Linked DNA regions of Macaca fascicularis. The main gene of each other region encodes a partner of the protein of the gene in region 4 in a complex. Links are inferred from orthologs where the notes say so. Each region holds a gene or a part of one and is shown on either strand. Other genes may lie near its edges. The genes, in order: STRIP1, STK26, STK25, STRN3, STK24 and SIKE1.

Region 1 (4,619 bases), on a different chromosome or scaffold from region 4:
TTGGCAGGAGGCCAGGCACAAGACTGACACATGGGCTCAACCAGTGCCTGGCCTTGCCTGTGTCACCTTTGTCCAGTGGACAGGTCAGCTGCTGCTCATCTAAGGATAACGCCATCAATGATAATAGCTAAGACCACTCACTGAGTGCCTATGTGTCCCGGGCATTGTTCTCAGGATATTACAGGTGCTAATTCATGTTAAGGATATAGGTACTGCTATCATCCCCATTTTACAGATGAGGAAACTAAGGCACAGTTAGAGCCAGGATTCAAACTGTGGCAGTCCAGTGCACGACTGGGTTTTTTTTTGCTTGTTTGTCTTTTGTTTTTTGTTTTTTGGGGTTTTTTTTGAGAGTCTTGTTCTGTTGCCCAGGCTGGAGTGCAATGGCGCGAACTTGGCTCACTGCAACCTCCACCTCCTGGCTTCAAGCAATTCAAGCAATTCTCCGGCCTTGGCCTCCTGAGTAGCTGGGATTACAGGTGCCCGCCACCACACCCGGCTAATTTTTGTATTTTTAGTAGAGATGGGGTTTTACCATGTTGGCCAGGCTGGTCTCAAACTCTTGACCTCAGGTGATCCACCCGCCTCGGCTTCCCAAATGGTGTTGGGATTACAGGCGTGAGCCACCGTGCCCAGCCATGGCCTGGGTTCTTAGCCATCGTATCCTGTGGCTTCTTGTGCAGTCCAAGCATGTATCACAGGATTTTGTGTCCCCATTGGTCAGTACTTGTCAGGGACATCACTTATCTTCCTTCTTGGAGGAAGATGCTGACTCTCAAAATCTCCTGCAGCAACAGTGCCGCCTGCAGCAGTGCTGTGAGGAAGCCCGCCATCTCCCTGGCTGACAGCACAGACCTCAGGTGAGGCGAGCAGCAAGCCTGGGCTTCCGAGCGTTAGTCAGAGATGAGATCAGAGCAGGGTGTGGGAGGCTGGCTGTGGGTGTCCTTGCTGTGTGTGCTTCTGTACACGTCATCTGCACGTTTGATGGGCCCACTGTGAATGCTTAGTAGGAACTGCTGAGGGCTCATCCTAGGTGGGGCTCTGGGTTGAGACTCCCAAAGGCAATCCAGGGTCAGGTGACTTAGAGCCACAGCTAAGTGTGGGCCTCCTACTCACACTGTTACTCAGGACCCAGTTGTGGGTGTTTTGTATTTGGGTGAAACACTTGATAATGTTCCCAGGGCTCCCGCCGCCTTGTGTACACAGCTTGATCCTCATCTTCACTGGGTTAGACCCGACAGCTTCCTAATGTTTCATAGCTGCCCAGGAGCTCACAGCAACTGCTGAACACCAAGATCACCCTTCAGTTTTTGAAGGTTGAAATCTGGCTCTTTTTATGAATTTGGAAGTTTTTAGACTAGGTGGTTGTAGTGTTCCCTCCTAGGTGTTAGGATCCCTGGGTGTCACCTCTCAGCTCCTGCTTTCCACTTCCTCATCAAAAACCCTGTTTTTGTTCTCGCTGTGACCCCGTTCTGCTTTGACCCTATAGCTCACTACCATCTCTGGTGCTTTTCTTTTCAGGAAGCTTAGGGCGGTAAATGCTTTTGGCCATTCTTGTTCATATTCATTTATTCAGCTACCATTTATTAATTTTTTTTTTTTTTTTTTGAGACGGAGTCTCGCTCTGTAGCCCAGGCTGGAGTGCAGTGGCCGGATCTCAGCTCACTGCAAGCTCCGCCTCCCGGGTTCACGCCATTCTCCGGCCTCAGCCTCCCGAGTAGCTGGGACTACAGGCGCCTGCCACCTCACCCGGCTAGTTTTTTGTATTTCTTAGTAGAGACGGGGTTTCACCGTGTTAGCCAGGGTGGTCTCGATCTCCTGACCTCGTGATCCGCCCGTCTCGGCCTCCCAAAGTGCTGGGACTACAGGCTTGAGCCACCGCGCCCGGCCACCATTTATTAATATTAAGCCCCTGCTTTATGTAAGCACTTTGTTAGACACTAGGGTGCTCCTTCGACCCCCCCACCGCCCTACTTCATTGTGAGCTGGCTCTTGTCCTCAGGGTCCTGCTCAACATCATGTACCTGATAGTGGAGACCGTTCACCAGGAGTGTGAGGGTGACAAGGCTGAGTGGAGGACCATGCGGCAGACCTTCAGAGCCGAACTGGGTAGGACCCTGGGGATCCTCTCTAGAGGCCCTGCCTGGAAGCTGAGGCGGAAGGCTTTGGGAGGGTCCTGATACCTTTGTGTCACCTCCAGGCTCCCCGCTGTACAACAGTGAGCCGTTTGCCATCATGCTGTTTGGGATGGTGACCAAATTTTGCAGTGGTCACGCCCCTCACTTCCCCATGAAGAAAGTTCTCTTGCTGCTCTGGAAGACAGTATTGGTGAGCACCTACTTGGAGGAGAACTCAGGTGCTAGGGGATGGGCAGTAAGGAGACTGTTCCTTGAATATCCTTTTGAATATTGAATTATGTGACTATAAAACTGCTTTGGTAAAAAAAAAAAAATTATTTAAAAAGCGCTAAAAGGAGATGACAAAGTAAGTGCCACTATTGTCCCTTTGTAGCCAATGAGGACATAGGCCTTGAGTCAGAACAGACTGTTGGCTCCCTGACTCCTGGAAGATGTTTTCTGTCATAGAACAGCTCTCCCCCAGACAAGCTGCCTCTCAGCAAGCAGCTCTGGACCTGGAGTTTGTAAAGGGATTTAAGGCAAAGTTAAAGCTGGTGTAATTGGGGCCCTGGTAGGATGTCACTTGAAGGGGCAAGCGTGAGCCCTGAGCCAGCCTCCATTTTCTTCAGGGTATGGTGTCAACCCGACTCTGTGTCTAGGTAGGGAGGGACTGGGTGCCAGCGTGGGCCGTCCAGCACACTGGGCTTTGGAGCATTGTTAGCAGCCAGGCCATGCCAGGAGGCCTTCCCAGGAGGAGTGGCGTGGGGGAGGCAGTGGAGGTGGGTTGGGCCTCTGTTACACTGGGGCTCATCCTTCCTTTCAGAATGGGTCAGCTCTGGAGCCAGGGCTCAGTAAGTGTAGGATTTCTTGAGTCATTGACGCATTTTTATCTTGGCCACACATCCTGTTCTTCACAAAGCCTTGCTAAGGCCAGAGAGGAAAGCTGAACTGCTCAGAAACAGCAAAACTAAGCAATCTAAAATTGCTGCATGGTGCTGGGGTTTCTGTTTCTTGGGAGATGTTTAGATGAAGCTTTTTTTTTCTTTTAAATTTGAGCAACCAACTGTATTTCCAGTTTGACTTGGAAAGACTCGCATGTACAACTCGTGAAACATGAGTCTCACCAACTTTTCTAGGGACTTGCAGGGTTAGGCTCTTTGCTTTTTAAATGAAGAGTATGTCATAGGTGCAGAGTTAGTGTATCTGCACTAGGGTCAGTCAGCCTGCATCTCTACTCTTTCCTTGTTCCTTTTTCTCCTTTCCCTTGCGGATGTCGCAGAATTCTCCTCGGGAGTGGCTTCAGTCCGTTGTTCAGGGGTTGCCTGGGTCTCTATAAAGACGTGGGTCATGATGTGATGGGTGCTTCTGAGCCCAACACAATGGTCAGGGACCAGCCCTGTGGACACGTTGACTCTGGCTCTGCTTCCCTGTCTGTAATGCAGTGCACGCTGGGCGGCTTTGAGGAGCTGCAGAGCATGAAGGCTGAGAAGCGCAGCATCCTGGGCCTCCCCCCACTTCCTGAGGACAGCATCAAAGTGATTCGCAACATGAGGGCAGCCTCTCCACCAGCATCTGCTTCAGACTTGATTGAGCAGCAGCAGAAACGGGGCCGCCGAGAGCACAAGGTGAGGGTGACAGAGGTCCCTGTGACTCCTGAGGGCCCTCAAGGTGTATGCTTGCAGCAGCACAGTCCTTGGAGGAGCAGGGCTGCTGGAAATGATCTCTGATCAACCAGTCAGAATCATGCCTCCACGGCAAGGACACTTTGTCCCCAGCTCTGGTCCAGTTTATGGTGGGTGCTCAGCACGTGGTGCTTTTGAGGGACTGGAGCAAGAAGTACTTGATGGTTTGGCCCCCGTCTTGACTCCCCCTCTGGTTTTTCCACTGTTCCTGCCTCTACCTGACACCCCTGTGCGCTGTGTCTCCTCCAGCCGCACTTCCCTAGTCTGCATCCTCAATTGGCTCTTGTCTCATCTCACTTCCCTGGTTTCAGGCTCTGATAAAGCAGGACAACCTAGATGCCTTCAACGAGCGGGATCCCTACAAGGCTGATGACTCTCGAGAAGAGGAAGAGGAGAATGATGATGACAACAGTCTGGAGGGGGAGACGTTCCCCCTGGAACGAGATGAAGTGATGCCTCCCCCACTACAGCACCCACAGACTGACAGGCTGACCTGCCCCAAAGGGCTCCCCTGGGCTCCCAAGGTCAGGTGAGTCTCAGACCTCCAGAGCACTCATAGCTCCTGAGGCCAGAGCCCTCACACCCTCAGGCCTGCCGCCTGGCCTGCGTCACCGTGTGTGGTCCTCTGCAGGGCAGGCTGACCGTGGCTCTGGGATGAAGCTCTCTTAAAGCGCCTGGTGCTGTCCTGAGGGTCTCAGGGAGGCTAGCCTTGCTGGTCTCACACAACATGGCCCCCATGTGGCTACTGAGTCAGTAATTGGAGTTAGCTCTTGGTTAGACGTGCTAGTGAAGGGGGATAGGAAACAAATAAAAACAAAAG
Region 2 (4,619 bases), on a different chromosome or scaffold from region 4:
AGTATCTTCTGGTTTCCAACAGAAACTTCGATTTTAGTGTTTGAACAATAAAGGACAAAGGAGAAATAATTTGAAACACTGAAGTCCCATACCACACCCCCATCTCAAGGAAAACAAACATTGAGGACTGTGAAATTTAAATATTTATTTTCAAAACCCCAAAACACTGGAGTATGCTTCACCTAGAAACAGTTTACAGGACGAATAGCTATAATGAATAAGCAATACAATTTGTATTTGGGATGCAATTGTGTTGTAAAGTTTCAAATAATCAATTTATAAATTTGCTGCTTTTACTTTTACAAAAATATTCATTTAACCCATAACATGAGTTGCAAAATTATCTCCAGACTTCTACAGATTATAAACTGTAATTGTGTTTCAGTTACACAGCGGGTGAAAAATTTAACTGAACCATTACTTCAAAATACAATGCATTAAAAATAATTGTTACAATATAGGCACCAATAAAAAGAATTTTCTTGGCATACAACACCAGAACAACCTTCTCAAGTATCTATACCATGTAAAGTAAAAAGAGGATGTAATGGCCACTTTGACTAAAAACTGTATTCCTTACAGGAAGAATATCTTTCGTCTAATATTTGGCAATTACTCAGATTTTTTTAAAATGACTTTTGTGCAAAAACCAAATTGTGCAGATCCAAACAATTAAACATTAACTATCAAAACTAAATATCAATAATTCTACAACTACTAAAATATAGCCCCAGTTCAGAACTTAGGCAGGCATAATACTGGGCTTAAAAGAAAAAGGCATCACCAACATAATAGTGCCATAAATATAAGTGAAAATTAACTGTGCAATCTAACTTACCTTTGAGTGGACAGAAATCATCCTGTACTATGGTTATTTTCATGTGAACTAGAAAATGCTCACTTAAATATCCTTTTAAAAACAACAAACTGATGCTTATTAGTGACAATTATGAAGAACAAAAATATATAAATAGTTTATAGGACAATTCATTACCATGGCAAAAATATGCTGGTGTAACTTATATTCATACCTATGGATCAGGTATTTAATCACATGACAATCAGCTTTTTTTTTTTTTTTTTTGGCTCTCAAAATCCAAGCAGATAGTATGGGATTTTAGTTGAAGATGTAAAACATGAAGCCAGACTAACTCCTCCAACATTACCAAGCACCTATCCTTGGGTAAATGATCTTGCTTTAAATTTCTAACCATGTTAAATAAGGGTAAAATTGCCTCTTCTACCTAAAAGAGAATGTAAATACTATACACCAAGAGGTACCTCTGTTGCTGTACATTGCCTGTAAATGCTTCAAACACAGGATCTCAAATGTGATAATCATTGAGCTGCCTGGAATATCATACCAACTTGGTAGAAGAATCAATACTTTTACAGGTTTCATTTAAAAGACTTTACTAAAATTTTCTGTTTTAAGAAGGTATGACTTATTTACACCTCCCCACCAATAGTCATTTTTAGAATACGCATGTTTAAAAAACAACAACAACAACAACACTTTTTGAAGCTTGATACTTTACAAAAGCTGAATACTGAGAATGACTTTGAAAGACCTGTACGTTTCATGACTGTAGTCAATTAAAGATCAAGACGTGAAAGGTATTCATCTTAGTAACTTAACTTAAGAAATAGGGATACTTAAAAGCAAAACGGTGTCTCAACATTTACTAGAATACAGGTGAAACTATAGTATTAAAAGTTACTCCTTACAAAATAATCCTTTCAAAATATAAAATGATAAACACCATCACAAAATAGTTTAATAGCTTCTTCCAAATCTTCAGTGTTGCAAAGATCCAAAAGGCACCTGGAGCTCATGGGTTAAGCATTGTTAAGCTTGAAGTAGCTTTGGTGGGGCTCTCTGGGTCCATATGAAACAGAAGCCAATAATAAGTTTCTTAGGGGGATTCGTTTGCTGAACACCTATAAAATTTTTTAAAAATGTAAACAAATGTACAACTATGCATATTTATATTTCTCTTTTGTATGAACTCTGCAATGAAGAAACTGATTCCACAAAAGGGATACATTGTTTTTATGGAATCTCATCATGTAGATGTTAAAATATAAACAAGTTCAAAAATCCCTTCTGTATCTGATTTCACAACTTCCAATTGATTTGTTTTCAAATGGGAGGTCTTCATTAAAATATAAGGGATTTTAAGAGGGGGTTAGGTTTACGAGTACAAGTGAGCCTTATCAGATAGAAAGATCTTTGAGAGTGTGTGATTTCACAGGTCACAGAGTTTGTTCCAACTCAATCCCAGTGGCATCACAAACAAAGAAATATAAAGATGCACTGAGAAGAGATATAACAAGGTCAAGGCTAAAATTAGTATCACCTTATAGCTTGCTTGAGCTAAGGAGTGTATATGTGTGTACATGCATACAAAAGTCTTGTTGAAAATTTTTTAAAAAATTAAATGTAAGAACTTTTTTGAATGTGAACAAAATCAAATGAATATTTCAAGAGACAACATAGAAACTGAAGTTGAACATAAGAGCCCTTTTTCAGTCTGGATTGAGTCCCTCTACCTTTTCCTTAACTTTTCATATGGAGGTCAAATGTAGGAACTTTAGCACTGGAAATTATGCAACTAGTGGTGTTTTGTTAAATTCTGAGGGTAGTGGCAAGAAAGAAAGCATTCCCCAATGATATTAATGAGAGCTCAAATGAGAATATGCTCAGTGACCTTTTGTCCATACTCCTACTAGTGGAGAAAGAAAAACAGGCCATTTCATGCAGTGGAAAACTACCTTGTCATGCCTAAAAATTCCAAAAGCTAATGTTTAAGATACACAACAAACAAAAACTATTTTTAAGTATACAACTATGTATTAAAAGGTGACTTTGTTAGGAATAATTGGAATGGTTGAATCAACGAAATTACATTGCATCATAAATTAACATACAACAGAAAATGCAAAATAATTTTTAAAATGACATTTCCAACTTACTTTTGAAATTTTTCAATTAGCTTCTTCACCATTTTATCTGTGATGCCAGGACAGGCGGCTTCAGCCACAGCAATACTTTTCTCGAGTTCTTCAATCGCCTGATTCCTGCTAGCATTATTCTCGTCCTGCTGTTTAAGCTGAGAAAGAGTAATAATTAAAACACTTAAAATATTATACTACTTCAAACAGATATCCAAGGCCAATTAATCTGTACTTACTTCAGCAAATGCAGGTGTGATTATCATAGACAAACAGCTCAGGGTTTGCACAAGATCTTGCTCCTTTGAACAAATGATACAGATTATACACATGAAATTAAAATAATTGTTATGATTTTCTTATTCTTTAACAAATACGAACTAATTTGAATGCCCCACTGAAAACAAAATATTGTATGCAAGGCAAGTCTCTAAGCTTTCTTCCTGTCATTCATTCCCATTCATCATCCAGAAGTCCTCTAACTTCTAGGATTACAATAGACACCTATGATTCCCTGGGCTTATGTATCTCTAGGTGAAATGCACTTAAAAAATACCAATATGGGCCGGGCACAGTGGCTCAAGCCTGTAATCCCAGCACTTTGGGAGGCCGAGACGGGCGGATCACGAGGTCAGGAGATCGAGACCATCCTGGCTAACATGGCGAAACCCCGTCTCTACTAAAAAATACAAAAAACTAGCCAGGCGAGGTGGCAGGCGCCTGTAGTCCCAGCTACTCGGGAGGCTGAGGCAGGAGAATGGTGTAAACCCGGGAGGCGGAGCTTACAGTGAGCCAAGATCTGGCCACTGCACTCCAGCCTGGGCGACATAGCGAGACTCCGTCTCAAAAAAAAAAAAAAAAAAAAAAAAAAAAAAAATTCCAATATGGCCACTTAAATAACTTCTATTAACTTTTTTAATTAGCTCAAAACTAATGACAAATGAAGCATACTACAAACACAGTGAGGCAGACAGGCATTTGGGGTATTCAATCCTAACAATTTTGGGCCATTATAATCTCACTACATAGTTTGAAAAACTGTATGAAGAGTAAGTAATTGTCTCCATATACATACTGCCCCATTCTGTACTTTCTTTGGATCAGGCTTCTTTCGTACGGTGGTAAAGCTCCATTCAGGATGAGTATTGTTTTCCCTGCTGGTAGATTCCCTAAAGAGATTGCCAAAGATACCTCTATAAGTGACCAAATGATTCAGCTTGGCAAAAATATCAAATCGATGTATGTAGAATCTAAAGGAATAATTGTCCCAATGTTTAAAAACTCCTGGTACAAAAAAGATCTGATCTCAGCTGCAGGTGAATACTACATTTTACTACAGAGTGGTAGTGGAGTGGTTCTCAGCTCGATGTGTGCTTCATTGAGACCTCCTACCAAATGTAAATACCTGTCCCTCACTGCTCCCCACCTATTGAATCAGGATCTCCAGTGGTGTGGCTTGCGATTGCTTTAAGGTTCCATGTGCATCCATGTCCCTACAAAGGACACAAACTCATCCTTCTTGGACTCGGGAAGGGGAACATCACACACCGGGGCCTATCATGGGGAGGGGGGAGGGGGGAGGGATTGCACTGGGAGTTATACCTGATGTAAATGACGAGTTGATGGGTGCTGACGAGTTGATGGGTACAGCACACCAACATGGC
Region 3 (5,073 bases), on a different chromosome or scaffold from region 4:
TCCCCAGTGCGCCCACACTCCCTTCCCCAGTGCGCCCACACTCCCTTCCCCAGTGCGCCCACACTCCCCCCCCAGTGCGCCCACACTCCCTTCCCCAGTGCGCCCACTCCCTTCCCCAGTGCACCCACACTCCCTTCCCCAGTGCACGCCTACTCCCTTCCCCAGTGCACCCACACTCCCTTCCCCAGTGCCCACACTCCCCCCCCAGTGTGCCCACACTCCCTTCCCCAGTGCGCCCACACTCCCTTCCCCAGTGTGCCTACTCCCTTCCCCAGTGTGCCTACTCCCTTCCCCAGTGTGCCTACTCCCTTCCCCAGTGCCCACACTCCCTTCCCAGTGCGCCCACTCCCTTCCCCAGTGCGCGCCCACTCCCTTCCCCAGTGCGCCCACACTCCCTTCCCCAGTGCGCCCACTCCCTTCCCCAGTGCGCCCACACTCCCTTCCCCAGTGCGCCTACTCCCTTCCCCAGTGCCCACACTCCCTCCCCAGTACGTCTACTCCCTTCCCCAGTGCCCACACTCCCTTCCCCAGTGCGCCCACACTCCCTTCCCCAGTGCGCCTACTCCCTTCCCCAGTGCCCACACTCCCTCCCCAGTACGTCTACTCCCTTCCCCAGTGCCCACACTCCCTTCCCCAGTGCGCCCACACTCCCTCCCCAGTGCGCCCACACTCCCTCCCCAGTGCCCACACTCCCTCCCCAGTGCGCCCACACTCCCTTCCCCAGTGCGCCCACTCCCTTCCCCAGTGCGCCTACTCCCTTCCCCAGTGCCCACACTCCCTCCCCAGTACGTCTACTCCCTTCCCCAGTGCCCACACTCCCTTCCCCAGTGCGCCCACACTCCCTTCCCCAGTGCGCCCACACTCCCTCCCCAGTGCGCCCACTCCCTTCCCCAGTGCACCCACACTCCCTCCCCAGTGCGCCCACACTCCCTTCCCCAGTGCGCCCACTCCCTTCCCCAGTGCGCCCACACTCCCTCCCCAGTGCGCCCACACTCCCTTCCCCAGTGTGCCTACTCCCTTCCCCAGTGCACCCACACTCCCTTCCCCAGTGCCCACACTCCCCCCCCAGTGCGCCCACTCCCTTCCCCAGTGCGCCCACTCCCTTCCCCAGTGCACCCACACTCCCTCCCCAGTGCGCCCACACTCCCTTCCCCAGTGTGCCTACTCCCTTCCCCAGTGCGCCCACACTCCCTTCCCCAGTGCGCCCACTCCCTTCCCCAGTGCGCCTACTCCCTTCCCCAGTGCCCACACTCCCTTCCCCAGTGCGCCCACACTCCCTCCCCAGTGCCCACACTCCCTCCCCAGTGCCCACACTCCCTCCCCAGTGCGCCCACACTCCCTTCCCCAGTGCGCCCACTCCCTTCCCAGTGCGCACACTCCCTTCCCCAGTGCGCCTACTCCCTTCCCCAGTGCCCACACTCCCTCCCCAGTACGTCTACTCCCTTCCCCAGTGCCCACACTCCCTTCCCCAGTGCGCCCACACTCCCTTCCCCAGTGCACCCACACTCCCTCCCCAGTGCGCCCACTCCCTTCCCCAGTGCACCCACACTCCCTCCCCAGTGCGCCCACACTCCCTCCCCAGTGCACCCACTCCCTTCCCCAGTGCACCCACTCCCTTCCCCAGTGCGCCCACTCCCTTCCCTGGGTCTGATCGCACCAAGAACCAACAGCACACAGTCACAGGGCACCTCAGAGCTCCAATTTCTCATCCCGTGACCCAAAGGAGCTATTTCTGCAGTTCTTAAAAATAAACTGGTGGCCGGGCACGGTGTCTCACGCCTGTAATCCCAGCACTTTGGGAGGCCACGGCAAGCAGATCACCTGAGGTCAGGAGTTTGAGACCAGCTTGACCAACATGGTGAAACTCCGTCTCTACTAAAAATACAAAATTAGCTGGGCGTGATGGCACACGCCTGTAATCCCAGCTACTCGTGAGGCCAAGACAGGAGAATGGCTTGTACCTGGGAGGCAGAGGTTGCAGTGAGCTGAGATTGCGCCATTGCACTCCAGCCTGAGCAACAAAAGTGAAACTCTGTCTCAAAAAAATAAAAAATAAAAATAAAATAAATTGGTGACAGATTTTTCTCCCAGCACCTTAGTCATGTAAGTTACCAGATACAGAAAGTCAAAAATCTGTTAGCTTAATTCAGCATCAGTCAGCAAGCCCCAGTCCCATCTGTGACCGCGCAGGTCCAGGCTGCCTGGCCCAAGAGCTGCACACGGTATTCCGGGTCTCTAGGCTGGTCCAGTTTCCTCCAAAGCAGCCCTGACTCCAGTTCCTGCCCCTATGCGGACAGACGCCCTTCCTGTTCCACTGCACACCCAGCTCTCAGGAATTCAGCACAGAGGAGTGAACAAGGAGGGCCACACATTTTAGCGGCGATTCCAACACCTTAGGCAGAGCCAAGGCATCAAGGAGAGCAAAACCGAACGCTAAGACGTAAAAAAACCCAGCAGCCAGAGTCAAAAAAATGGGGAGAGGTACACAGTGCAAGTCTCCAGGTCCCAGGCTGGCTGTCCCCACCCTCCTTCCCTGGCATGCCCTGTGGCAGCAGCAGCTGGTCCTCATTCCAGACTAAGGGCTCGCTGTAGTGGCTCCCTCCGAGGCTGTCCCACCAGACGCTTCAAGGTGGCTCCATAGTGGAACCGACTTCTTCAAAGAGGAATGACGAGCCTCCTGTTCGGGCAACCGCCCGTAGCAGGGGTTAAACGGTTCTGAACAGAGCAGCCTTTTCACCTTCCCCTGGGCCAAAGCACACACGCGTTTTCCGCTTTCCCTGCACACCGGCCGCTCAGATCGGCTTCTCCACGTTCCCAGCCCCTCAGCGCCCATCAGGGTCTCCTCTACGGCCCCCGCCCAGCCCAACACGGCCAGAACGGCCGGAACGACCCGTGGCCCGGGCTCAGGCCGCAGTGTGGCCCCTGACCTTCCACTGCCTTCAGATGCCGACACGAGGTTCCCGCCCCGCGCTGGGGGCAGCGTCCTGTCCCGGAGCCGGTGTCTCTTCACGCACCTCCGCCGCCCTCGCACAGGCGGAGCCACCCGGGGCTCGGTGTCAAGAGGTCTGCGAGCTCCTACCACGCAAAACGCCACAAGCACACGGCAGAGCCCGGGGGCCGCCCTGCGCCCACCTCAGGACGGCTCCGCTGGTCGCACGACGCGCGCTCCTTCCCTCACCCACCGCCCGCTCCGGCGAGGCGCCCCTCGGAGCCCCCGGGAAGCTCTGGCGCCCCTCGCTGAGAGGCCGCTAGTCTTCCTGAACTGCACCCTCCTCACCTGGTTGGCAAATCCCCGGAGGTGAGCCATGGCCGGGCCGCCTCGGACCCTCCGCCGACAGCCCCGAGAGGCGTCTGGATCCCGCGGAGAGGCGTGGAGCCGGCTCGCTCGCCCCTGCGGCGTCAGTCCACTGCGAGGGACAGCAGGAGCGGTCGGCGCCCAGTTCAGTCATCTGAGACCGAGCTCCGGGGCGGCGGGCTGGAGGGGGGCCCCAGGAGACCCCCAGGCCATCGGGGCCCCGCCACGCCCGGGCCTACAGCCCAGGCTCCCGGGGACTCGCCGCCCCTCCCGTCCCCGCCCCCACCTCTTCCGAGGCAGCTTCCTCCCGGTGCCCCCGCCCCGGAGTCCCCGCCACCGAGCCCCGCCCCGGGCCCCTCCCTCCGCCCCCTCCCCAATCGCCGCTAACGCGCGCCCGGCAGCGCGCCCACCTCCGCGGGGCTCCATCCCGGCCTCCCCCGGCCCGCTCTGCAGCGCCCGCGAAGGCTCCCACCCGCAGCCTCTGTTCGCCCGGGGACCCCGGGCCTCCCAGCCCGCGAAGCAACGGCGGTGGCGGCAGCGACAGGAGAAAGCCCGGAGGAGGCGACGGCGAGGGCGGTATTCGGCGTCGCGGCCCGCGCACGGCTCTCTGGGACCCCGAGTCCCACCGCCCATTCCGGGCCCGGAAGCCTGCTGGCGTTGGACTACAAGTCCCGGCAGGCCGCGAGAGAGGGGCGGGGCTCACATGCGCCCCGCGAGGCTCTCTGGGACCCCGAGTCCCACCGCCCATTCCGGGCCCGGAAGTCTGCTGGCGTTGCACTACAAGTCCCGGCAGGCCGCGAGAGAGGGGCGGGGCTCACATGCGCGCCGCGAGGCTCTCTGGGACCCCGAGTTCGGCTCCCGAAAGGCTTGGACTGCGTCTCCCAGCAGGGCGCGCGGCGGGGCGGGCGGGGCACGTGGTCGTTGTCGCGTCGCGTCTTCCGTGCCTCGCCCTCGCTGGCCTTCTGCGTCTGCTGGCGCCTGCAGGGCGTCGTCTCCGACGTGACGGCGGCCGCGCGGCGTTTCCCTTGGGCTCTGCCCTGCGCAGCCCTGGTCCGAGCTGGCCAGTAAGGCCCCGCGCCCTCCCCGCCTCGCCCCGAGGATCCACCGCGGCCGCCCAGGCTGTTGGCCTTGTCCTCACGGCTCGGAGATAAGCCGGCGCTGGTCACACCGCGAAACCCCTGTTCGCACCGAGACCCCGCTCGGGATCATGCGCACAGGCCAGGGCGCAGCAAGCCTTGGAGAAGCTACCTGCACAGCCCATTCCTTGCGCGACCTTCGCATCTTCTGCCTCAGTTTCCTTACCTGTAAAGGGGTGATCATAGGACATCCTTGGTCACACCTTTGTGGGACCCACCTGGGCTAGAGCGCGGTACCCGCCCAGGACAGTGACTGCTGCTGGAAACCGTCGTGGCACTGGGGTCACCTCCCCAAGGTCAGGGAGGGACTTGCAGAGCCCAAGGCTACCTGGTGCGCCCCCCTGCCCCGTGGGCCGCCAGGTCATAGTGCCCCCTGTGTGCATTCCCCTGGTGCACCGCAGGGATCCCCACCTGTCCGGTGAGGAAGATTTGTCTGTCCTCCACTCTGTGTCCACCCTTACAGGCCCTCAGTTTCCATGATGGCTCAGCACAGATGACTATCCTGACCACCTCACACCCCTCCTTCCTCAAGAGGGTTCTGGCGTTTCTCTTTGCTCCCTGGTGCGTGTTTTCTCATGGTGCGTTGCCAAGTCCTTTAAGAAGCCATGTTTCCCTGTCATGCATCCAGGACAGCCCCTTGAA
Region 4 (5,308 bases):
TTGTGAAGCCAACGGGGGTGGACCACTTGAGCCCAGGAATTGGAGACTAGCCTGGACATCATGACAAAACCCCGTCTCTACAAAAAATACAAAAATTAGCTGGGCGTGGTGGATGCACGCCTGTAGTCCCAGCTACTCAGGAGGCTAAAGTGGGAGGACCACCTGAGCCAGGGAGCTCCAGGTTGCAATAAGCAGAGATTACACCACTGCATTCCAGCCCGGGCAACAGAGTGAAACCCCGTCTCAAAAAAAAAATAAATAAAATAATAATTTGAAGAAATAGTCCCTAGCATTATAGTACTACGATCTAATATCTCATTTCATATATAAATAAAACATGGCAGCATGAGTAACAAGTCCAATCTGCTTTCCATTATACTGTAATAACAGTAAAGCAGACATGATAAAATAAGATGAATTACTTTATCTCTTTGAAATTACTTCCTGATTGGTTGGTAGTGCATACTCCTTAGTACAAGTTTTATTGGCTTTTGCAACAAAGAAAAAAATTTTAAAAAGTAACAGATCTTAAATGCAATTTTCCTGTATCGCTATTAATATAATTACCGAACCTAATTTCCTTATGTTGCTAATTATTTTTGTCTTATTTTTCAAATAAATGCTTCTTAGCTATATTAATTTTTAGAAACATTCTAGTGCATTAGGATATTTTCTAGGAAACTAAGCACATAAAAATACCCACGATTGTACTTAAAATATTAGCCTTGTCTCTTATGCGTATATTACATTCACTCAAACTTTTAAAAAAAATTTTCCGACACGGAGTCTCGCTTTGTCGCCAGACTGGAGTGCAGTGATGCGATCTCGGCTCTCTGCAACCTCAGCCTCCTGGGCTCAAGCAATTCTCGTGCCTCAGCCTCCTCAGGAGCTGGGACTACAGGCGTGCGCCACCACGCCCGGTTAATTTTTGTATTTTTAATAGAAATGCGGTTTCACAATGTTGGCCAAGCTAGTCTCGAACTCCTGGCCTCAAGTGATCGCCCACCTCGGCCTCCCAAAGTGCTGGGATTACAGGCTTGAGCAGCCGCGTCCGGCCATATTCACTTAAACATTTAATGACCCAGGAGAACATCCATCTAGGATTTTAAGTTGTACTCACAATGCTTTTATTTTCTGTTTCGATCAAAATAGTCTATTGATGACAATATTTGTGAGCCCATTCATTTCTAAGATATCAAATTGTTAGTCTAGCCAGTCTCCTTCAAACTTTTCTCCCTTTACCTACCATCGTCAAGATCCAAAGGAATTCACTACCTCTTCTTCTCCCAAGAAAAAAAAAAATCGCTCCTCCCCCTCTCCCAACCCCCCGAAACACAACCCATTCCAGAAAAGGAAAGAAGAGGGGACGCAAAGTGGAATAAGTTACGACGCGCGACCCAGCGCACAGAAACGGTACCAAAGCCCAGGCTCGAGACGGAGACGAGGAATCAGTAACCACAGGCGGAGGATCTTGGCTATTTGCCAGAAGAGAACTGACTGGTGCTAAGAAACCAGAGACAGAGCCAGTGACAGGAAGGGAAAGAGGGCCCACCCTTGGGACTGCCTGAAACACCCAAAGAATGAAAAAGAAACGTCAGGAATCCGAGACGGGCTGCGGTCGGCCAGAGCGACCAGCCAGGTTAATAACAAGCTCCGAAGCCCGGCACACGGGTGAGAGACCCTTGGGAAGGAAACTGCGCCTGGGGACGGCCTGCTCGAAGGAAACTGATAACCAGGAAGCCTACGGCCGCCTCGCTTCCAAAAGCCAAAGTCGGAGCCCCGGCGCCCCGTAGCTGCCGGCAGACACCGCACCGGGTCAATACGCCGGCCTAGAGGCGGAGCCCGAGCTCTTTCCCCGCCCTCTAACGGCGACCCGGGTTGCGTTCTCAGTGCGCCGGCGTAGGGTGAGGCCGGACTCTATTTGGCGATTAAGCGTGAGGCTGCGTTCGCTACCCAGCATGCTGTGCGCTAGTGACGGCCCTCCGCCTATCCCCTTCCCAACTCTCCCCCCACCCCTCCCGCCGCGGCCCCCCTTCCCCTAAAGTGAGTGAGTGAGACGGGCAGATGGAGGAGGGACTGTAATGGCGGCGGCCGGCAGCTCCCTGCTCTGACCCACGGCAGGCACACAGTAACGACCCCTTCCCCGCCCCTCTCCCGGCCGGCCTCCGCCCCGCAGCCAGCGCGGGGCCACCCTCTCCGGCCCTTCCCCCAGCTGTCGGCGTCTCGCCCTGCGCCCCGGCCGGGGCCCCACACACAATGGACGAGCTTGCCGGAGGCGGTGGTGGCGGCCCGGGGATGGCGGCCCCTCCCCGGCAGCAGCAGGGACCTGGGGGGAACCTGGGCCTTCCGCCGGGGGGGAACGGAGCGGCGGGCGGCGGGGGTCCTCCGGCCTCCGAGGGAGCGGGTCCCGCGGCAGGCCCCGAGCTGTCCCGGCCGCAGCAGTACACTATCCCGGGGATACTGCACTACATCCAGCACGAGTGGGCTCGGTTCGAGATGGAGCGGGCGCACTGGGAGGTGGAACGGGCCGAACTGCAGGTACCTCGTTGGGGTCGGTGTGCGGGACGGCTGCGGCGGCTGGGTTCCCGGCCGGGGGGTGGGGCCGGGGACTCCCCTCAGCCGGAGCCGGTGCCTTGGGAGGCCGAGCGGAACCTACCTGTGCTGCTCGGGGTGTGATGGTCCTCTCAACGGCTTTTCCTGGAGTCCCCCTCCCTCTTTCCCGCAGAAGCTTGCTCCCCAACCTTCACTAGCTACGCGGTGCGGGCCTCCTCCGGGCAGCCATTTTGGCTTTTAGTATGGCGTCTGCGGGGGCTCCTCTGGAGGCGGCCTTCCCGGGTCTCCGGGGCTTGGGGCCGAGCACCTTTCTGTGGGAGAGTCCGGTTTGGGGCCTCTCGACCCAGAGTTTACTCTTGTTTGTTCCTCTTGAGATGAAGAGCCTGACGAGAATGACTAGGATAGGCATCTTACCCCCCTTTTCCGGACCACCCCCCCTTTCCGATTTGGCATATCTGGCCCCCTCCCTCAGTCTTGGTACGCACTTGCCCCTTGACAGCCACGCTTCTTTCCTGGGCTGCTACGGTGCACAGTGACTTGGGACTGACCTGTGAAGTTTTATTTCCCATCGTCAACTTTTTAAGTACTTTCTTACCTGAGATGCTGCCTTAGTCACTTGGATTTTCTGTAGTTATTCCTTACTTAGTGACTCATCAACGCTTTCAGCACTGAATTTTTCTTTTCACAGTACTCTTCACTAGATCTCCTTTCCTCATCTCTTTATCTATAAAAAAACCCAACCAGACGATCGATGCTGTACTTATGAAACGACTGAAGAGATTTAATATTCGCTTGAACTGAAATGTAGTTATATCATGTTACTTGTGCAGGAGAAGTGAGATGTTCTCAGGACCCTTCATAGTTGAGCTTGACTCGATCCTCATGATGTGAACCTTTGATAGGCTACACATTTGGAAGCTGTTGGTAGTTAACAGCTCATGTCCTGGTTCTCAAAATTGCTGCATCTTTTTGAAAGGATTATTTAACTTTCTTAGGTATTTGTGTTTATTTTTAAGTACCTTTCCAGGGCAAATTTAGGCTTAGAAGCAAAAAGCATGCGTCTAAATAGTATGGCACCTGTTCTTCAGACTGTTGTATATTTAGGAGGTAAGCAGTGTTTGCTGTCATATATGTCATATGCCTATGGTGAATAGTTAGGCAAATGTAGTGCTGAAAGGAGGAGGATTGGATTAACTAGAAAGGGTGTCCTCAAACAAAGGGTTTAGTTTGGTTCTGAACTAGTAAACTTTTATATGACTGCACAAAGTGGGTGAAGTTAAACTTTTCAAAAGTAAAAAATACTTGGGTATTTTGACACTGTATGAAGTCTTAAAAAATTGTAATACTTGTTAGTCATAGCTTTACAATTGTGTTTTGATATAATATTGGGCTTTAAAATTACATAACTTTAAAAAAGCTGAAGTCAAAACTGGTTTCTTTTAAGTTGTGTACAGTCTTGCTTTAAAATACTTAAAATTTATAGAATTCTGTTGATATACAGCTTTCTACTACATACTGTAAACTTAATTTTCTGTGTGAGTAAAGTTAGGCATTTGTTCTTAAAATTTGGATTGACAAATGCATTAAGGCCTAGGCTCACTAAGTAATACTTCACCAGTCCCTGCTATGGTTTCTTTGACCTTTGTACTATTGTATGCAAGTTTTGATTTTAACACTGTTTAAGTTAACAATTGCATTTTTCACCCATAAACTTCACTAATGTGAGCAGCTGAGAAGAAAGATATCTTGTGCGCAAATTAGTAAAACCTATACTATATATTAAAGAAGCCTTTATTGCCTGCTCTAGCATTTGCTTTCCCTTCTTGGTCTCCTCTCCTTAACGGGCAGCAGCAAAGAATTTTAAGGAAGATTCTTTTTGCTTGCTTGCTTGCTTGCTTTCAGATCTATTGGTACAGTAGTTCTGTTATTAGCCATCCTACGTTTTTGTTTGTTTCCTTGTTTTGAAGAAGTCCTACACTGTTTCTAGACTTATTTCGTACTGATTCTTTTGGAGTAAAATGTTCACGATGGCTTTGGTTTTTTTTTGTGTTATATATTTAAAATGTTTTATTGGGTTAACTTAGTTAATAAGGTTTCTAGTTTCTATCAGGAATATTGAATTTGCCTTAGGTGCCTTCAGTCTACTGAGATTGCTTGTGAGATGCATATTTTAAAATGTATGTGTTGAATACATATTTGTGGGAGGATGTAGTGAAGCATCAGTGGATTTTTACTGTAAACCTAAACTTATTTTTAAGAAAGACAATCTAGAATTAAGACAACTTACATATTATTATGTGCAGTCTCCGGTGCGATTCCATCTACACATATTTTTAAAGTGTTAATTATGGAATAGTTTCAATAGAGAACATGAGCTTAAGGAATACCCCATATTGATGTAAAATTTTAATGGGGAATATTTTTTTCCCTGGCTTTGGGAGAGATATTAAAAGGAACTTTGCAGTATGATTCTGTTCTCCGTAAAAAGAATTTATAGTAAAGGTCTTAGAAACTTGGAACGAAACCAAAGGATCATGTCTTAAAGCTCTTCTGTCTCTGATTCTTCCTTACCTTGAACTCAGGTAAAGCATTGTTAATAAGGTCGTAGGACAGTTGTTTCTTAACTTTTATATAACATGAATTACCAAAATTCCACAGACAGTCCACTTCAAGCCCTAGATCAGTCCAGATCTCCAGAGATTGAGAGGCCTACGTATTTTTTAAAGTTCTACAAGTGATTCTTTCTTCACAGTAG
Region 5 (5,338 bases), on a different chromosome or scaffold from region 4:
CAGAGCATATTTTTTCACTAATTCTTATGATTTCTAAAACCCCATTTTAAAGGTTACAACATTTTTAAGTTCGGTGAAACAGGTATATGTCGAGGAACTTGAAACACAAGGAACAGTCATAAGCCTTCTTAGTGTTGTAACAGGACTGTTCTAAAATGGTAAAATGGTTCCATGCAGGATCAGAAAAACATTTTTAATACTATTTTTAATCCTATTTAATACTATTCTTTCCCACAACGGAGTGGCAGTCCAGGACAATTTTTGTATCATATTATAACTACCATTTTATTTAAGTAATTACTAATTTACCTAGCATTCTTAAAAGTCAAGTGTGGGTAAGCTAGCTAACCAACCAACATCATCAATTCTCATCAGCAGTTTTTAACAGCATTAAATTAAACCACAGCTGGTAGCTGAGAATATCAAAAGATTAACATTCTTGAGTTGGTATGAGTTTTTAATACTAATCATAAGCCATCCTAAAATTACGTGAATAACTGTTATAATAACTTAATAAGAAGCAGTTTTTATGACAAAGTCCCACTCAGAAAGACTCTTTCTTGTTCAAAAGAGAATTATAACATCAAACACTTTCGCCACAAATATTTCTATAGGTGACATTTGAGATGACAGAACCATTGAAGCCAGGTTCTTTTGATCACGAAGGTCAAAACGTTTCTCCTTGCTCTGAAACCTGCTGTGCTGTATCTTATCAGAGTCCTTCCCATCCCCTGCTTGCACCTCAGCCAAGTGCTGCAGAACGAAAAGCACGTTATTTTAAGCCTTACCTTCAGATAGGATCCATAATATTTGGTTACATATGGACTGTCACACTGACTCAGCACTGTGATTTCTTGTTGAATGTCCTCTATCTCATCTTCAGCTTCTTCCAGATCAATGATCTTTATGGCAACCACTTTCTGAGTCCGATTGTCAATGCCTTTGAACACCTCGCCAAAGGAGCCCTTCCCAATTTTCTCTAGTTTTGTAAAAAGCTCTTCTGGATCTGCCTTTAGGTTCTGTAGAGAGAAGGAAGAGAAAAGGGAAACTTCAGTCCCTCAAAGCACCACAACTCCTTTGTCATTTTATATGTAATGTTATAGACCACACAGTCTTCCAGGGACTCATCTATTTTCTCTGTCCAGCCATCAGGCTGGTAGTGACCACAGCTCTGCAGGGTCAGGGCGTAAGATTCCTAGGTCTCACCTACACATGCGCATCAGACTATGAAAGAGAGCAAGCATCCAGTAAGAACAATTACCCAGCTAGATTAGAAAACATGGAAAAGATGCCAACTATTGTATAATGAGAGTAAATTAAAATCTAAGTGCTTATTTGAACATGTTAGGATACATAGATTTAATGAAAAATCACTCTTGTCTAAGCAAAAATTCACTTTTCTCCCCACCCAATCCCCACAAGTTCCGGAATTCAAATGGATTTTTACTAAAATGTTAACCAGCTATATCACAGAATAGAAAAAAAAATGTATACCGTAAGTATGCCTCTTCATGAGTAGTACTGCCTTTACCAAAACGGTAACAATCTAACCAGATTCCAGAAAATAATAAGCAGCCTGTTTCCTTTTCTCACATAAACGCTGTACCCCGGAAATAGCCTCTAAAAGCTCTTAACCACCTGATTAGTTACACACACATATGTAGTATACAGTTCCAAGAAGGCTAGCTGTCAGAGTTCAAGCTCTCATCCTAACAGCTACACAGTACAGAGTCGTGTGAACAGCCGAGTTCTCAAGGGGGGCAGTAACCGGTCCTCCACAGGGCCTGTCTGTCAGGAAACTGAGAAGCGATCCTGACGTTTAGCAAGGCAAGACAGGGACGCTGCACATCTCCCCACAAATAACTGCACAGCCCAAAATGCCAATGGCACCCTGGTGACAAGCAATAGCCTGGAACCCCACAGAGCAAGGAAGGACTCTAAGAACTGCCACCGCTGCAGACACATCTTCCCTCAGAAATGGTCCATAGGGAAGAGAATGCCAGGCCAACCCTCCAAATCTGTCAGTCCTTTGAAGAAGCTGAACTACTAGGGAAAGCAACAAGCACACAGGGAGGACAGGGAGGCCTGAGAAGGAGGTAAAGAAAGAGAACGAGAAGAAAGATGACACAGAAGAGGGTATCCACAGAGCAGTGCATGTGAGGTGGGTCACACACACAGCACTATGGCAACTGCAGTGCATCATGAGTGAGGCCAGCCTCCGGGGCCATCAGGGGCTACCCAGCCACAGCTCTCCAAGGTGAGACACACTGAGTTCCGAGCAGCTACTCTCCAAGAGAACTGCTGAAAGCCAGTCAGCCCATTTCTGGTTTGCAGGCCTTACTGTGCTACAGCGTGTCCACCATGGCAACAACGCACATATCATGACAACGACACATGAGCAGATAGCCACAGTGACCTCCTGCACACAGGGGAGCAGTGCCCCTGCCCCATGTTGGTTTGAGGCTGCACATCAAACAACACAAAAGCTCACAAAACCCACCAACCATCTTAGTACAAAATGAACCAAGTAAGGCTTGTGTGCTGGACATGTACCCAATGGGAAACGCATCCTGGGGTTACCAAGAAAGCAGGACAGGCCAGAGGCCAGGCACTGAGCGCTCAGCCCACACCGGAAGGTCATGGCCAGCGTAATCCGAGGTCTAACGAGCTGCCAGGGATTATAAGGACTACAGTTTTAGCCATGATCCCCCTTGGCTCCTAAAAAGCTACACAAACGTCCGTTGTGTTAAAAATGAAACTATCTATCCAACTTCATTTCCACTTAAAGTACTTCACTAAACATATCAATTGGGTGATTAATCAAGAGGCATTTAATTTTTTTTCCTGAACAGTTGCTAAACTGTTTTCAGTCATGGCACTACATTTCAAACATCTTAAGACAGTCATACTTAGGAGGAAGCCTGGCTGTGTACTTACAGGTTTTAAAAACATAGTCCAAGACCCCTGGGTTTACCAAGATAGTCAATGACCCACAGTCAGAGCCCAGGATAATTTCCTCAAGTGAAGACTGTTTTCGGAGCTAGTGAGCAGCCCTACAATATCCTCCTCTTCCTATGTTCAAGCTTGTCAATACCAGTTGAGTATCACCAGTCACTTTTGGGAATGCCACAGAATGCCCGGGTGGGTACCTCCCATCTGACTCACCCTGCACGCGGCCTTGAGCCTGCACCTCCACCTCCTCTAACACAAGCTGCTAGGATGAGAAGCTTTTGGGGATGCGGGGGAAGCAGCGCTCATCTCCTTTTTTAGCTATAATGAAACATACCCCGTTTTCGGCAGCTACTATCTTCGTTGCTTTCATGCCCTCTCCCTTACCGTGCTCCCTCCAGGGTGAGGTAGGGCGGCCCTCCTTTTATTCAAGGCCAGTCCCCAAAGCTGGGCTCTGGAGTCCATCCTTCTCTCCTCCAGGATACGGCTTCGTCAGTAAACCCCTTCTCGGCTCCTTCTTCCATTCACCCCTCTGCTGGCTCTCTGCCCTTGGCAACATGCTCCAGTTTCTCCCATTTAAAACAAACGACAGCACCCTCCCTAACCCATAAGCCCTCCTCCTCCACCCTCTCCTTCCTCTGGAGTCCCTTCAAAGTCATCTGGACCTGCCTGGTCCTCCCCACCACTGCAGCCTGGCTCCGCTCTGGCTCCGGTCACCAGTGCTGCAGTGTCGTGTCTGAGCCTCGTCAACCACGCCCTCCCCCTCCTCTGGGTAACTTTCCAGTCCTTCAGCATCCACAGCCCTGCTCCCGCTGGCTTCTTCCAGTCCCCCTAGTTCCAGAAAGATCTTCACAGAGATTCCAACTTGACTCCACCTTGTCTGGCCCTTACTCCAGGTCCCAGCCTGGGCCTCTACTCCTTCTCCCCACAGATGCCCAGTGTTTCAGGGTCTGGGGCCCTCGTTTCCCAAACCTGGGACATCTGACATTCTTGCAGAAATATATGGGAGTTCAGAAGAGAACAAGGTGAATAACCCATGTTTTTAAAACACCCCAATGGATTCTGGTCAATCACCACCTTGAAGGAAAGGCTGTGATCAAGACTCATGTACATGACAGCTTTCAAAGCGCTAGCTCAGGCCTGCCTTCTGAACAGGAACCCCCGGACCAGCTGCTTCCCAGACATTCTCTCTTTCTACCCAGACATTTCAAGCTCAACATGTGTGCACGGAATTCGCCGCTTCCCCTGCTGGACTGTCGTCCCACAGTCGCCCTCTGCTCTGCGCTGTGTCCTTTGTTCAGCTGCAAGCTGAGGAGTCAGGGGCTGTGTCTCATGCACCTCTACACTCCTGTGCCCGGGTATAACAAATGGCATGGGACTGTGGTCAGGAAATGTCCCCTGAGCAATAAGAAAACCCCAGACTCACCCTGGCTTGAACAGGACACAGATGAGACACCTCAAAGGCTATCCTACACACAGACAGGGGGCCCTGGAGGGAAGGGGCAGCCCTGCTGACAAGGGTGAGAAGGGTGGTAAGAGCCTGCCTTCCTGAGGTCAGGAGAGCCGGTTAGCACTGTCATTCCTGGGAGCGGTGATTCTCAGACCTGGGTGAGCCTCACATTCCCCTGGAAGGCCACAGAGCCCCACCCCACCAAGAGTTTCTGATTCAGTCAACTGGGGGTGGGCCCAAGAATTGGAATCCCGGGGTGGGAGGGAGATGCTGCTGGTCCAGGGACCACACCTGGAGAACCACCGCTCGGCACAGGCTGGGACAGGAGGCCAGGCAGCCCCCACAAGGGACATGCCACTAAAACACCATCATGCTAGGTCAGCTGATCACCCCCCTCCAGTAACCGTCCTGCTCCCATACTAAGAAAACAGTGGCCTTTGCTTTCTGAGACTTAATTTTAAAAGTAGGCAACAAGAATGTATCCAAACCCTTACCATGTTGCTGACCCTGTGGGAGACAGTTACAAAAAGAACCACCCACAAATCCCACCTCTCTGGGTCCACAACCCTATGAGTGTGACTTGGACACTCCCCCCAGCAAGAGACAGTGGCTGCCTCCGTGGCTAGTCTTGCTTTGTGTTCTGATGAATATAATCTAAGCAAGGCCCCAAGAGGACTCGCAGAGCTCCCTCCGCAGAGGGACGTGACCACGAGGCAGGGGAAAGCAGGCAATCGAAAATGGTGTGGTCAGAAAGACAATGACATCTGCCCACTTCCTGGACCCCAGCTGAGGTCCCAGGATGTGCCTCAAGTCATCCTGGGCCACCTGGCCTCAACCATGCCATTAGCTGACTACAGAGAGCCCAGAAAAGGCCAGCAAAACTGCTCAATCCACAGAATCACGAGAAATCGTGAGCCTGCTGTTTTGGCCACTCGGTTT
Region 6 (5,234 bases), on a different chromosome or scaffold from region 4:
GAAGTGAAGAGTAGAATGCATTTTCTGTTTTCACTCTTTGCCCAGACATCAAGTTGATAATCCTATGGTTATCAGTGATATGCATCAGCTCATAAGTAACCCTTCAGTATGTGAACATGGGGAATTTTTAAATACTGGGCTCTTCGATATGGATTTGTGTTACAGTCATGTTATCTTCTCACGCCTTCCAAGATTTCAAAGGATCTGATGGCTGTAATTGCAGAGAATAAATGAGTAATCTTTAGTCTATTTCAGAAATAGAAGGCCAGATGATTCCCTTTCCATAAAGGATTAAGTTTTCATCCAATGCCAACTCTGATAAGGCCTTAGTCATTTCTGTGGGTGAAATCTGATCTGATGCAAGCAATGTTATTTTCATTTCTGAAAATTATCTATGTCCAGTGCATCAATCACCCAATAGGTCCACCCTCCAATAAAAATATTTGAAACGGAAAAAAAAATCAGTTGTAGTTTAACTACCCATTGGATGTTGGATACTACCTCTAAGTGGCTGTTTAACTTAAATTTGAATACTTTCACTGGCAGGAAGCTTACTACATTCCAAGGTGCCTTATTCTATCTTTGGACATATCACTTAGAAAGTTTATCTATCTGAGTAAACTGTCTCTTTCAAAGTTCAGGTTTTTTCCTCCATATGAGAATAAATAAAATCTATTTTTCTCTTCCAGTTGAAAGCCATTCAAATATTTAAAATATCTGTTTCCTAAAACTTTTAAGTCAGTAAAATGCATTCAATGTAATTTAAGATGAAGCTTATATTTCACTACATCTCACAGAAGTAGTAGGCTCCAACTTATACATCTAGAATTAAATGACACAGTACACACGAATGTACAATGACAACCATGAAGCACCTACAAACATAAGAACAATTACCGAGTCTCCCAAATTAGATAATAAGCAATCAAAGCATAGAAACTATGCCATGTTTGTTTTTTTTAAAAACCATACTTCTATCCCCTAATAACATAGTATGATGCTATGTGGTTCAGTTTATAAAAGGTTTATTGACTGCTTGCTATATGTCAGGTACTATGTTAGGAATAAAATGTGAATTCAAGTGCCTCACAACCAAGGAGCTTAAGTGAAATGTATAATAACCAACCAAGTATTTACTGGGCACCTTCAACACTAACTGACATTACGTTTGGTGTGAGGGCTAAGAATTAATGAACATTTTCAAAAGAGATCTTGGTGAGGGAGGGGGAACGTTAGTCCCATTCAAATAAAAGGACCTGAGCAACCACTATCCTTCTTTCTATTCATATCTTTACAAAGCCATGGCAAAATAAACAACAAATATGATAAACATGAAAGGAAAACAAGCTTACTTTTCTTCAAAAACAAGCACACATGGCCAGTCACAGTGGCTCATGCCTATAATCCCAGCACTTTGGAAGGCTAACGTGGGTTGATCGCTTGAGCCCAGGAGTTTCAGACCAGCCTGGGCAACATGGCGAAACCTCATCTCTACAAAAAAAAAAAAAAAATAATAATAATAAAAAACCCCACAAAAATTAACAGGGCATGGTGGTGTGCACCTGTAGTCCCAGCTGCTCAGGAGGCAGAGGTGAGAGGATGGCTTGACCCCAGAAGGCAGAGGTTGCAGTGAGCTGAGATCGTGCCATTACACCACAGCCTGGTCGACAGAGCCAGACCCTGTCTCAAAAAGCAAAAAAACAAGCACACAATCTAAAACAATCTCAAGATTTCAATTTGGTTCATTTCAAATTTATTCGAAGTTTCTTACTGCAGAGTGAGACTGGTGAGCTTTCAGGACTGGTTCAGCATCCACAGCTTTTTTAGCAACCATTAACTGTAACATCTGTTTCCGGTACTTGCTCATGATGAGCTCCAAAGCATCCTGGTGTTCCTCCAAGGAAATCCACAGCTCTGTCAAAAAATAAAATAACTTGGCAGTGATGTCTGAGAGACAGTTCCCAAATCCAAAGTCTTAACAGTTAGAATTTTGCAATACTATAGAGATAATATGAATCCAAGGTTGTAAATCAATGTTTCAGTCCACAAAACTGAGCAGTTAAAGTCTATGTTAAAGGTAACTTTCTAGGCAGAGAAGCAAAATCTTGCAGTAACAACAACGGATATGTCATCAGAAGACATGGATTTGAGTTCAGTTCTGTAACTTGCTTGGTTAATACTCATAAGTAAATCATTTAGCTTCTCTGAGCCTATTTCTTAACAGCATTGTGATAGATAAAAATGAAGATATGAGAATACAGTAGAATGATATATGTGAAACCCCTCTGGTAAACAACTATTAATACTACAGTCATTAATAATGTACTAATCAAGCCTAAGAATATATACCCTTAGAGTAAAATTCTGCTGCTTCACCTTGCACAAACAAGAACATAAACAAAACCTTAAATCTTACCTTCAGTGTTTATATTAATATTTAAACATTAAATTTTAAGTCCATGAGGATATGAACTCTTTTGTTACACATCTGGAGATGCTTAAAAATAAACCATGCAATAATTCTAACTCTACATAGCCCCTCTTTGGTAAGCTGCTACAAAATCAGTCAGATGACCTTGAAATGGGTAATCTAACAAACTTTACTGTTACTGAGCCAGCACAGGAGGACTCTCCTACTAAAAGTACTGACCTGGAAATAGATGCACACCCTTGTGAATGTTTAGGGCAATTTTGCAGTAACTTTAAACTATTACCAGATATGAAAAGGCCTGACTAACCTCTGTTTTCCTGTTGCAAGTCTCTAATCTGTGTGTTCTCTTGAGACAGCAGAATGTGAGGTTTGTATTTGGACATGTCCTTCATATCGGATGCATCCTCTTGATACTGGACAAATAGAGACAGTCTAAGCATGCCTTAAAGAGAACAGCGGCAGATGCAACTCAAGTGGCAGAAGTCAGGGCTCTAGGGCAGGATTCTCAGCTCCGACCCAGGAAAAAGGTCTCACCGCCGCCCTCTGAGACCGGGAATAAATTTCAGGCCGAGTTCCCACTTTACCTCGCTCTCCACCCTTCAGTGCCCAGAATCCGAGAGCACTGGACTCCTACCCTCTGCCTGACCTGGTCCGGAAGCGCTGTCCCCGCCTCCCGCATAGCGGCTACCCGCCGGTGCAGCGCTGCCGACTGATCCACCAGCGACTCGGCAGCCGCATCGTGCTCCCGCAGCCTCTCCAGAAGCGTCTTGGCGTCTGTCAGGATCTTCTCGATGGTGCAGCTCATAGCAGCAGCACAACCCCAGCCCCTGCCGGGCTCAGCTACGCGACTCGCTCAGATCTTCTGGGAGTCTGTCTCAGCATTACTGGCGTCACTTCCGGGCACGTTTAAAAGGTGTCTTGGCAGACGCAAGAGGCGCCTGCGCAGTGGCACCCTATTTTGCGGGTTCACCCGCTTTTACCTGTGGCTTCCTTGCAGTCCTGCCTGACGCGGAGCCCCAGACCTGCCCTTACCACGCTCTTGGTTTCCAGTTGCCACAGCCTGGTGGTCAGGCCATGATGAGCTGGGCAGAAGGAAGGTCTCTTTTCCCCACTGGTTTTCATTGATGTGGATTGTTATTCAGTCACAGTTATTTTCTTTTTATTTTCATTTAATTTTTATTTATTTTTTTTCGTTTTTGAGACGGTATCTTGGTATCTTGCTCTTGTCGCCCAGACTGCAGTGCAGTGGCGCGATCTTGGCTCACTGCAACCTATGGCTCCAGGGTTCAAGCGATTCTCCTGCCTCAGCCTCCCGAGTAGCTGGGATTACAGGCATGCACCACCATGCCGGCTAATTTTTCTATTTTTAGTAGAAACGGGGTTTCACATGTTGGCCAGGCTGGTTTTGAACTCCTGACCTCAAGTGATCTGCCTGCCTCGGCCTCCCAAAGTGTTGGTGTGAACCACTGCGCCTGGCCTACTTTCATTTAAGTTTTAAAAAATTGTGGCAAAATGCACATAAAATTTAATATCTCAGCCATTTTTAAGTGTACAGTTCAGTAGTATATTCATATGGTTATACAGCCACCATCAGCATCCATTTCTAGAACTCCTTCGTCTTGCAGTACTGAAGTTCTGCACTCTTTAAACAATAACTCCTCATTCTTCCTTATCCCCAGCCCCTGGCAACCACCATTCTACTTTGTCTCTACAAATCTGACTATTCTGGGTACCTGACGTGAGTGAAATCATACAGCATTTATATTCATATAACTGCCTTGTTTCACTTAGCGTAATGTCCACGAGTTTCATCCACACAGTAGCATATGTTAGAATGTTCTTCCTTTTTAAGGCTGAATAATATGTATATGCCACGTTTTGTTTATCCATTCATCCGCTGGACAGTTGGGTTGCTTCCGCCTTTTGCTATTGTAAATAATGCTGCTATTACAACTGGCTCACGTCTGGCTGTTTGTTGCCTAGAGGCCAAAATCATGAGAAGTGACTGATGATGAAAGGAAAGCAGTTTTACTAATCAAACGCTCGCAGATGGGGAATGGCTACACTCATGCCTTCAAAACAGCATTCCGCTTTTTTTTTTTTTTTTTTGTCAACGTATCCCAGAGACAGTATCAGTGTCCAAACTTTAATTTTGTCCCATATCAATGCCAGGGTGGTGTGCTACCTGTCCTGAGTCCATCATGTCACTCCTGCGGCCAACCGACTTAGAGTCAAAAGAGTTACAGCCAATTAAACATTCTAGGCCAGATGGGGAAGGAGGTGGGCAGGCACTCATTAACCTTAAAACTCCTCTTAAGCAATGTTAAGAGCCAAAAACCAAAAACCAAAAGGCAAGGTTACAAAATTGACTTATCTATAAATTCTATGCATTGAGCTGCTGTAATCTTGGCTTGCTGCAATTAGCTATATGAAATGCAAGCATTTTGTTCAGCTGTTTTGGCATCTGTGTGTCATCCTTGATTTGTAGGGTCTGAACTGATTTTAGCCCTCAATACTGGCCCTTACAACATTATGTTATAGTCTCTAGGCCTGAGGGGATTGAAGAGTTTCAACTATTGTAGGTAAAACAAAACAGAAAGAATTAACAACTTTTCAAACACAAAGGTCATAAACCCTGCCTAGTTTTGAGAGTAACAGGAAAGAAAGTTCATACGGAGCTAAACACTTAAATTATTTACTATCAAGGCACAGAATACATTACATTAGTTCAGATAGAGGCAAAATTGTTAAGTGAATCTTAATATTTTTGAACACAAGACTGTCCCTGTGTCTCATGAAAGCA

The links.
Region 1: the proteins of STRN3 (region 4) and STRIP1 are in contact, whole or in part, in a cryo-EM structure (PDB 7K36), measured with the Homo sapiens proteins. The link is inferred for Macaca fascicularis from reciprocal best matches to the Homo sapiens genes STRN3 and STRIP1. Residues at the interface, in NP_001077362.1 of Homo sapiens: Thr64, Pro66, Gly67, Leu69, His70, Tyr71, Gln73, His74, Val88, Glu89, Ala91, Glu92, Ala95, Arg96, Phe99, Leu100, Glu103, Gly106, Gln107, Leu110, Asp113, Leu114; in NP_149079.2 of Homo sapiens: Arg441, Ile445, Tyr447, Leu449, Thr455, Val456, Val457, Gly458, Leu459, Arg491, Ser492, Pro493, Leu494, Ser495, Phe792, Leu793, Pro794, Val795, Asn797, Cys798, Leu799, Val802.
Region 2: STRN3 (region 4) and STK26 share a complex: the UniProt entries of both Homo sapiens proteins name them as parts of the core of STRIPAK complex. The link is inferred for Macaca fascicularis from reciprocal best matches to the Homo sapiens genes STRN3 and STK26.
Region 3: STRN3 (region 4) and STK25 share a complex: the UniProt entries of both Homo sapiens proteins name them as parts of the core of STRIPAK complex. The link is inferred for Macaca fascicularis from reciprocal best matches to the Homo sapiens genes STRN3 and STK25.
Region 5: STRN3 (region 4) and STK24 share a complex: the UniProt entries of both Homo sapiens proteins name them as parts of the core of STRIPAK complex. The link is inferred for Macaca fascicularis from reciprocal best matches to the Homo sapiens genes STRN3 and STK24.
Region 6: the proteins of STRN3 (region 4) and SIKE1 are in contact, whole or in part, in a crystal structure (PDB 6AKL), measured with the Homo sapiens proteins. The link is inferred for Macaca fascicularis from reciprocal best matches to the Homo sapiens genes STRN3 and SIKE1. Residues at the interface, in NP_001077362.1 of Homo sapiens: Arg176, Leu179, Tyr182, Leu183, Val186, Tyr188; in NP_079349.2 of Homo sapiens: Glu96, His97, Ala100, Leu103, Ile104, Ser106, Lys107.

Annotation. Positions count from the first base shown.
Region 1 is NC_088375.1:124,270,458-124,275,076, reverse strand, and holds part of STRIP1 (striatin-interacting protein 1), read left to right. Parts: exon of another isoform or gene 1-30; coding exon of another isoform or gene 31-83; intron 84-791; coding exon 792-860; intron 861-2,002; coding exon 2,003-2,109; intron 2,110-2,200; coding exon 2,201-2,328; intron 2,329-3,559; coding exon 3,560-3,742; intron 3,743-4,110; coding exon 4,111-4,328; intron 4,329-4,619. UniProt on the Homo sapiens protein: Plays a role in the regulation of cell morphology and cytoskeletal organization. Required in the cortical actin filament dynamics and cell shape. Part of the striatin-interacting phosphatase and kinase (STRIPAK) complexes.
Region 2 is NC_088395.1:138,330,021-138,334,639, reverse strand, and holds the end of STK26 (serine/threonine-protein kinase 26), read right to left. Parts: intron 4,125-4,619; coding exon 4,031-4,124; intron 3,258-4,030; coding exon 3,195-3,257; intron 3,114-3,194; coding exon 2,977-3,113; intron 1,942-2,976; coding exon 1,917-1,941; 3' UTR 126-1,916; downstream 1-125. UniProt on the Homo sapiens protein: Serine/threonine-protein kinase that acts as a mediator of cell growth. Modulates apoptosis. In association with STK24 negatively regulates Golgi reorientation in polarized cell migration upon RHO activation.
Region 3 is NC_088386.1:137,457,626-137,462,698, forward strand, and holds the start of STK25 (serine/threonine-protein kinase 25), read right to left. Parts: upstream 3,308-5,073; coding exon 3,278-3,307; exon of another isoform or gene 2,928-3,277; intron 1-2,927. Other genes in the region: uncharacterized protein, read left to right, coding at 3,306-4,298. UniProt on the Homo sapiens protein: Oxidant stress-activated serine/threonine kinase that may play a role in the response to environmental stress.
Region 4 is NC_088381.1:98,837,485-98,842,792, reverse strand, and holds the start of STRN3 (striatin-3), read left to right. Parts: upstream 1-2,062; 5' UTR 2,063-2,256; coding exon 2,257-2,538; intron 2,539-2,656; exon of another isoform or gene 2,657-2,797; intron 2,798-5,308. UniProt on the Homo sapiens protein: Calmodulin-binding scaffolding protein which is the center of the striatin-interacting phosphatase and kinase (STRIPAK) complexes.
Region 5 is NC_088391.1:89,413,091-89,418,428, forward strand, and holds the start of STK24 (serine/threonine-protein kinase 24), read right to left. Parts: upstream 3,637-5,338; 5' UTR 3,415-3,636; coding exon 3,337-3,414; intron 1,020-3,336; coding exon 789-1,019; intron 1-788. UniProt on the Homo sapiens protein: Serine/threonine-protein kinase that acts on both serine and threonine residues and promotes apoptosis in response to stress stimuli and caspase activation.
Region 6 is NC_088375.1:119,589,978-119,595,211, reverse strand, and holds the start of SIKE1 (suppressor of IKBKE 1), read right to left. Parts: upstream 3,309-5,234; 5' UTR 3,237-3,308; coding exon 3,066-3,236; exon of another isoform or gene 3,016-3,065; intron 2,845-3,015; coding exon 2,739-2,844; intron 1,915-2,738; coding exon 1,772-1,914; intron 212-1,771; coding exon of another isoform or gene 179-211; exon of another isoform or gene 36-178; intron 1-35.